Linked DNA regions of Schizosaccharomyces pombe. Changing the gene in region 1 together with any one later gene gives a genetic interaction. Each region holds a gene or a part of one and is shown on either strand. Other genes may lie near its edges.

Region 1 (4,640 bases):
CGAACCATCATTCATATCGACAGCAACCTCAGTAGGTGATACAAAGCTAGCGTGACCAGAAATATAAGCCACACCATCCTTATTAACATTTCTTTCATAAATTCCATTGAGACGTCCAATGTATGCATCACGTTTACGTTTAATCATTCCCCAGTCAAAACTACCTAACTGACTGTTAGGGAATCCATTTTGCTTTGCTGTTTTCATCTTTGCGACGAGATCAGCAATATTCCACATAATCTTTTTGGGTACACATCCATAATTTACACATGTGCCTCCAAGGCGCCCAGATGCCTCAATTAAAGCAACCTTGGCTCCATGTTTGGCAGCACGACGAGCCGAAGCCAAACCGCCTAATATTCATAAATGTTAACCCATCAAATCCCGAAAGTATCGAATTGTACTTACCACTTCCACCACCAATTACCAGGTAATCAAAGACCTTTGAAATAGGTGCCATTCTAGTTTTAATACTTCGTGTATATAGGTAATGAAGAAGTTGAATACTGTTATAAACCAACGGAAGGTAAGGGTAAGACGTCTTTACCATGAATTCGTTATGATAATATTAGGAAATTTTATGGCAATATTAGTCATCTTCAAAAGTAAGCAATACCTCCATAAAGTGATAATTAGATTAGAAGAATTCCTTAGACTTTGCCATTGAACAGATGGAAATACTTTTCTCAGGCCAATGATAGTATAGAGTTTTTATTAAAAAATAAGTATTCAGAACTGGTTAGTACTTTAATTACAAGATCTCATCGACAACTCTGGAAAAGCAACCAATGTTTTAAGATAAACCATTTTTTTGTAATAAACATAGATGATTTGAAAACCTAGAGCGATCTTCCTAATATACATTAACTTTGAAGCAAGTGGATGATTCACACACGCAGAAAAAAAAATCAACCGAGTTTCCTAACAGCGTCTACACGCGACTGTAAAATACTTAAAGCTGGACAAACCCATTGAAGACAACTGCATTGTAAACCTTGCCATTTATAAGAACCAATTTTAGAATTGCATTTTGGACAATCAAATCGACCTTCCAAATTTCCCAACTCCAATTCTGGCTGCATCCAGCGAATAGGTTCCAAAAAGTAATGAGTACATCTTGTATGAGAATAATTATTTTCATCTTTCGGTTCATGCGATACCAGATAATCAGAGCTGGCAAGGACAAACCGACATTTTTTACAGCGAAGCTCTAATTGTCCTGCACGGGCACGGACAGTCTCAGCGTAAGCGACTTCAGATGGTACCCTAGTATTCAACACCGCGAAATCACCATATCTTCTGAACAGCCATTGGCGGTATGGGCGCAAACTTCGATCAAGTTGGTAATTACACTCAAAGTATACGCGAAGTTGACGAAGAAAATTAGCATTAGGAGATATTCCAGAGCGCCTTTCATTAATATGGGAGAGTGCTTCCTCAGTATTCCAATTGTTTTCCTTCATCAAGTATGCAGCCACTAAGGTTACGGACCTTGATATGCCCGCAAAGCAGTGAACCAAAACTTTGGCATTTTTAGATAGTGCAAAAGCGATGAATTTATTTGACTTTTCGAAGTATTGCAGAATATTTTGAGAACTAGAGTCTTCAATTTGCAACCAAAGGTGTTGTTGTTCAGGAACCGACAAATTGGGATTAATACTCATAGCGCTTAATGTATAATCGATCCCTTTGTCTGAAGTAGACACTAGCTCTGACGCCGTTTTCCAACTACTAATATACAAATTTTTTGATATTTCCGACAAGTCATTGAGGCTGTCAGGATAATGCACCTCGTCTATAGCTTTCTGTACATCGTTGCTAGACTGTAAAAACCCTTCTGCTTCTTGAACGGATGAGTGAATTTCATCAAACTGAGGTTGCCATGCACTTTTGTTGCTCATTCTATTATTAAGTTTCTGATTTACCACTTTGAAACCGAAAGAAACATAAAAACATGAAAAACACTTAACTTTTCCAATTACTCTAATTATTTCGCTTGGCAAACAACCAAAACCAAAAAATGCTCTTTTTGAATTATTTTAAATATATCAATTAGTTTTCCCTTTTATTCCTGTTTTTGGTGTTTGGATTGATTCAAAAGTGCATGTTACTTAAGCCACTTGACCTTCGATATGTTACTTGGTTTAAAGGGTTTCTGGTAGCATCGATCCATCCAAGTACAAAGTTGGCAGAGATTGAAGGCACTTGAAACTTTGGTTCTCTCATCAAACTTGGACTTAATTTCCTTCTTTCATATCACCAAAATGGAATCTAGTAGAGAAGAAGCCCTTAGGTACGAATAATGAGGATTGCGTGAGATTTTATTACTAACACATGTTACGTGTAGATGCATTGGACTTGCAAGAAAGTATTTAAATGCCGGAGAATATGATAAGGCTTTAAAATTTGCTAATAAATCTTTGCGAATTCATGCTACCACTGAGGGCGAAGATTTTGTGAAACAAATAGAAAAGCAAAAGCTTACAGGTTCTCCAAATCCTCAGGCAACTCCTAAGCAAGAAAACAAGAGTAACTTTTTTTCTGAAAAACAGTCGGTGCGGGAAAATGGGAATAGCTCTGCTGGTGAAAAGAAACAGAAGTGGACAAGCGAACAACATTTGTTGGTCCAGAAAATCATAAAGTACAAAAATCACCAGTACTATGAAATATTGGATTTAAAGAAAACCTGCACTGATACAGAAATCAAAAAGTCTTATAAAAAATTAGCATTACAGCTCCATCCAGACAAAAATCACGCACCTAGTGCTGACGAAGCATTTAAAAGTACGTCTTCATTTTTTAGCTAATAATTTTTAAGGTTTTTTTTTGTATCCTAACTTTTTTATAGTGGTTTCAAAAGCCTTTCAGGTTTTATCAGACCCTAATCTACGAGCACACTACGACCGTACAGGAATGGATCCTGAATCTCGCGCCTCTGCTGCGAGCAGCTCTTTTAGTAGTAACGCAGGAGGCCATCCTGGATTTTCTGCTTATCCTCAAGCGAATATGTCTCCCGAAGATTTGTTCAATTCTTTCTTTGGTGACCAGTTCTTTTCAGGTCCAGGAACATTTTTCTTCGGTGGTGGACCTGGCATTCGAGTTCATCAGTTTGGCGGCCGTCCAAGGAATTTTGCACGTCGTCAGCAGGCCCAGGACATGCCCCCAAAGAGCATATTTTATCAGTTGCTACCTTTGATAGTGGTAATCCTTTTTGCCTTTTTGTCCAACTTTAGTTGGTCAGATAGTACGTCGGTTAATACGCGCTATTCATTTCAACAAAACTATAAATACACTGTTCCTCGTACTACTGCCAAGCATAACATTCCATACTATATGAGCCAAAAGGATTTGGATAAGCTAAGTTCAAGAGATATAAGAAGACTCAACGAAAAAGTCGAGCATACGTATACTCAAAACGTCCATAATGCTTGTTTGCGCGAGCAACAAATTAAAGAAGACGAAATTCGAAGAGCTCAAGGATGGTTCTTTCCTGATAAAGAGGCACTGAAGAAGGCTAAAGAATTGCGTTTACCTAATTGCGAAGAATTAAACCGCCTTGGCTATCGAACTTATTCAAACAGTTATTATTTTTAAGCAATAGTCTTTGAGACATACTTCCTTGTCCTTTGTTTTGTTTCATTTTCTTTAATTCACATCTATACCTATTCTCGTGTTGTTTACTTTCATAAAAATTTTAATTGGGTTTTTGGAACAAAACTAATATTCTTTACGCGTATCTTAAAGCCTGCCTCTTCGGTTTTTAGGTAACTTTAGGCTGTTTATCTTTAATGAAATCGGCATGCGTTATTCCTAAAAGTTGCCTTTAAAACATGAACAAATTAGAACTTGTGTTTATGTTGTGGTTTTTTTATTGTTATTGAACATTCAGTGCTGCGTCAGTTTATAACTTTATCTGTTGTGTAGGCGTTGTTTAATCAGTCGTGAGTCTAGTGAAATCTTGCAACAGCATTATTTCCTTAAGAGGTGAGGCTTTTTTGAATCAAATCCAAATTTTGTTCCCGAAGATTGAGTTAATTAAATCAACTTTTTGCATTTAATAACTGCTTTCTGTATCGCTATATTAAGAAGCTTTGCGTCCTTTGTATCATATTAATATAATTCGTGAATTTACTTGCATTTCCTCCAAACAACAAATCCTTTAAAATAGAAGGAATATTAAACTGCTAGAGACATTGGCAAACCAAATTTTATATAGCTGCAAAGACGCGAGTAATTTAACCAGAGTTCTGAAGCGTGATTTCGTATCTCAAAAAAGAGGGTAAGCTGGTAATCATCACACATTCTATATACAAACATTTTAAACTCGTTTTCGCTTTCCTGAAAAGACAGGTTCCTGCTGAATGTTTAAATATGCTTGCGTCTACTAGCAGTTTATGAAGTACGAGTAATTGCTTGGTTGTAAAGAAGCAAGGCGCATGTTTGAGTGTATATCCTATAATATTTAAAAACGACATGTAGAGGTAGATACCCACAAGTGACACTCGTTGTCAATAATAATTACTTTCCTGCTTTCTTCTTCCTTCTAAAATCTCTCTCATAATGGTTTTTATTTTGCAGTCAAAAATTTTGCGAATCATTATATTAATTATACATTTTGTATTCAATTACCACGGCTAGTT
Region 2 (3,997 bases), on another chromosome or scaffold:
AGGAGATAAATGAGCAGCCATATCATTAGGAGATACAGCGGTAGGGAAAGCAATACCTTTATAAGCATCCTTGGTACGATATACTTTCTTGATAGCTTCGTTCAATAGTTCATCACCACGAACGCAAATATCGTATATTTTGGCTCCAGGTTGGCATAATTCTACCACTTTTTTAATAACATTTTGAGAAACTTCGCCTGCAATTTTATATTTATTGACGGTTTCAGGATTACTCAAAGAATAATCGACAGCAGTCTCTGAAGTTGCTTCTTTAGTCGACATATTGTCTATGATGTAGCTAAATCTGGCTACAAATTCAAGAACTTGGTGCTAGGATTTTGCAAGTCACAAAATTGTGGACTCCAAACTCATGAATAACATGGCTCATATTGAATCCTATGATATAACTAAATAGTAATGCTATTAAAATTTACACATATTACCCAGACACAATATAATGTATGAGTTTTTAAAAAATACAATAGAACAATTTACTAAATTCCTGATATAAATTTCTCCAAATAATATCATTCACCTATTAAACTGTAACCGATTTCCATTTTGTTCGTTTTTTTAAGTAGCAAACATCTAATCATAAAAGTCTTGCTCAGCATCATCGGAGTAAGCAAATTCATCATTTTCACTGCTATCTTGCCATTCGTCTTCATCGGGATAGCTATTTTGATAGAAGCTTTCAGCGTTTGAATCCTCATCAATTTCATCATGTAATGGATCATCTTTATCAGAGTCCACTGTCTCGGAGACTAGTTCCTGTTCTAATGAAGAACGAAAAGCGTCTGGGATGGACAAAGCATCAATTACACCATAAGCAAACGTTGGCTTGTTTGGTTCTTTGCTAGATGCTTCATAAATATCGTATACGTAGTCTTCCGTAGATTGCTGAAGAGGAAGGTCTCCATTTGACAAATATTCTTGAATCATAGAATCTAGCTGAGGATGCGGATGATACGTAGTATGTCTATGAATGTTAGTTAAGGTAAAAAAAGCCAAGAGCCAGTTCTTATAACAACAGAACTAAGTAATTGACTCTATTTGATGTTGACATACCCTTGTTCGACACGGATAGCGTCGAACACTCTATTACTTTGAGTAGAAGGTAAATTCTGAATTGTATAGCGTGGGGATGAGAAAGAAAGAATACCTTTTGTATTTTCACGGGATCCCAAGTCCATGTGCGTAGGTGCTTTCACAACGTCTTCAGAAGTTTGGACGACAGGGATTCCGTAATTGTTCTTTTTTAGAGATGATATTTTTGTATGACTGTGGATATTTCGAACGTCTTCATGAGTGGGTTCCGAAGATTCATCATTTATCTGAATATACCGATCATCTTGCTTCAGCGTTTGTGATAGTTTAAAATCTAGAAACTGTCAATAAAAGGTAATTGTGTTTTTCAAATGATTAGTCCTTGTGTAATATTCCAACACAAAAGCTCAAGAAGTAGCATACAATATCGTCCGGCGAATTTCCTTCTTTTCGTACTTGAAACAGAATTTGGATTGTTTCCAAGTTCCAAATCTAAATTATTAAGGAGTTAGATAAAGAAAGTTTACTTAGAAGCTTGGTCGTACATAGGGCGTTAACAGGATCTTCTGAAGCTTTACGCTTAACTCGAAGTACTGGAAGAGGCATCTTCGTATCACAATTTAATAACGAGAGTTAGACGACTCTTTAAAAAAGGAATTAATATAACCAGCAAAATCTACGGTTGGGGGATGGCAAGTCTGCAATGTAAAAAAGGTAGATATAAAAGTAGCTCTTCGACTGAAAGACAGCAACTTCAGTATAACTTGGATTGAAGTAGTATTACAACAACGCAATCTTATCTTTCAAAATGTAAAATATTCTATAGTTTTATTATTTTAAAATAAAAAATCGTGAAGTTCATTATTTATATCATTGTCATCACTTAACAAAAAGAACTTTTCTATAATAAATAATGTTGAGCAAACAATGAAGCAAAAATATTCAATAAGTCTAATTACACAAATTCACAACTTAAAGATGCCCCACAACAATTAATTCCACTCAAAAGAACCGATGATATAAATGTATACTTTGACGATTAACAAAGATTGGTCTAATCAAGCAATTATCTCATGTAATACATTCAGGAAAAATGTATTTTGTATTGTTTTAATTAAATTCAAAAGAGGGTACAGTCAATCTCTACTGCTGCAATCTGTACGAGAATTGTCTTTTTTAAACAAAACTTCGAGAACTAGTTTGGATGCTTTTTTTTTTTTTTTTTTTTTTCACATTTATTTCTCTCTTCTGAAAAATATATCTTAATCAACGATCGTATGAAAATGAGGTCTTTGTAACATTTGACATATATCTTCTACACACCCAACTGGTACCAACAACAGCATATGGATGGAACTTCTCAAGCTTTTAAAATTATTGTAGCTACAATAATTATAGGAGCTATTATATCTACCCTAGGAATTTTTTTTACTAGAAAGACAATTCAAAAGAAGTTACCAGCAGTGTTTTTAATTGGACCTAGCGATTCTGGAAAAACGTCTTTGTTTTGTGAGGTATAACAATAATATACAATCTTTGAATACTTATTAACTGTTATATAGCTAATTTATAAAGAAAAGAAAACTACAGTTCCTAGCATTGAACCTAATGAAGCTGTGTGGAAATATGGTGCTTGGTTAGTAGATCTTCCAGGGCATCCCAGGGCCAAACGTTGGATTACTACTAAATTCTCTGGAAATTATAATGTAAAAGCTGTAGTTTTCGTTCTCAACAGTGCTACAATTGACAGGGATGTGCACGAGGTTGGATTGATGTTGTTTGACACAATTTTAAAATGTCGCAAGCATCATGTCCCTCATCTATTAATTGCCTGTAATAAATTTGATCTTTTTACTGCTCAACCTGCGGAAAAAATTCAACAATTGTTAAAAGCTGAACTGCACAATATTTTGGAAGAGAAAAATCTTCAACTCGAATCTATAGTCTCTGAAGATGTCGATTGGGAATCAGTTGCAGATCAGATTGAAGATACTGATCTTAAATTCCTTCCTGGCAGCGTTGCAAAAATGTCGAACATTGAAGAATGGATTTCATGGATGGAATCAGCTTTACAATAAAGATGCATTAATTATTCACAATTGATAATTTACAAGTAACCAACCAAAAAAGATATATTTTTGCATGTCTAGAATAAGCTATCGTTTTATTTCAAAAATTCGTAATCTTGTGTGAATACTGTAAAATACTTAAAAAAATTAACAGGGTTGTTGACAAACTGATTCGTAAAGTACTTGTACTTAGGGACAGCTTGGGTAAAAAAAAACAAGAGAAACATTAATATTAGTATAAGAATATCAAGAAAAGAACAATCCAAGGTTGTATCAAAGCCTCACATACGCAATGAAAACACTCTTGATCATTATAAGAAGGTGAGCAACAAGCTCAGTTGATAAATGGTGATACTTTAAAAAAATGACTGCAACGAATGCATCATATGAAATATTCTAAAAAAAGATAAACATCACAAAAAAGTGAAGCTGATAAACAAAATTACTACACAACAAACTCATTAAGTCCTACAAACAAAAACGTGATATTATAAAAACTTAAACACATATTTCAAAATGGTTAATAACTGGGTGGTCGACGTGACCTGCACGTTAAATTATGAGGGAAAATTGTCTAATGCTCAAACATGGTCTCAGTGATGATACCAGTGACGAGGTAAGGATCGATGGAAGAAGCAGGACGACGATCCTCAAAGTAGCCGCAACCATTCATGGCGACAGAACGGGGGATACGAACGGATGCACCACGATCGGCAACACCATAAGTGAACTTATCGATTGAACCAGTTTCATGACGACCGGTAAGACGCAAGTCGTTGTCGTCACCATAAACAGCAATGTGCTCCTTATGGCGTTTGGCAAACTTCTCGAGATAAGACTCAATAGCTTTTATACCACCTTCAGCACGAGTGTCCTTAGTA

What was found.
Region 2: mutations in SPOM_SPBC17A3.06 (region 1) and iwr1 together harm fitness less than expected from each alone (positive genetic interaction), as found in Schizosaccharomyces pombe (one large-scale study listed by BioGRID).

Annotation. Positions count from the first base shown.
Region 1 is NC_003423.3:1,410,316-1,414,955, reverse strand, and holds SPOM_SPBC17A3.06 (phosphoprotein phosphatase), read right to left. Parts: upstream 2,092-4,640; 5' UTR 1,902-2,091; coding exon 909-1,901; downstream 1-908. Other genes in the region: mitochondrial glutathione reductase Pgr1, read right to left, coding at 1-353, 409-460; SPOM_SPBC17A3.05C (J domain-containing protein), read left to right, coding at 2,265-2,293, 2,348-2,784, 2,849-3,594. UniProt on the Schizosaccharomyces pombe protein: May be directly involved in signal transduction and/or cell cycle regulation. It is necessary for maintaining growth rate or spore germination. Could show both activity toward tyrosine-protein phosphate as well as with serine-protein phosphate.
Region 2 is NC_003424.3:1,592,802-1,596,798, forward strand, and holds iwr1 (RNA polymerase II nuclear import protein Iwr1), read right to left. Parts: upstream 1,739-3,997; 5' UTR 1,654-1,738; coding exon 1,593-1,653; intron 1,540-1,592; coding exon 1,471-1,539; intron 1,382-1,470; coding exon 1,069-1,381; intron 980-1,068; coding exon 589-979; 3' UTR 501-588; downstream 1-500. Other genes in the region: peptidase family curved DNA-binding protein Cdb4, read right to left, coding at 1-282; signal recognition particle receptor beta subunit Srp102, read left to right, coding at 2,394-2,561, 2,610-3,125; glutamate-ammonia ligase Gln1, read right to left, coding at 3,691-3,997. UniProt on the Schizosaccharomyces pombe protein: Directs RNA polymerase II nuclear import.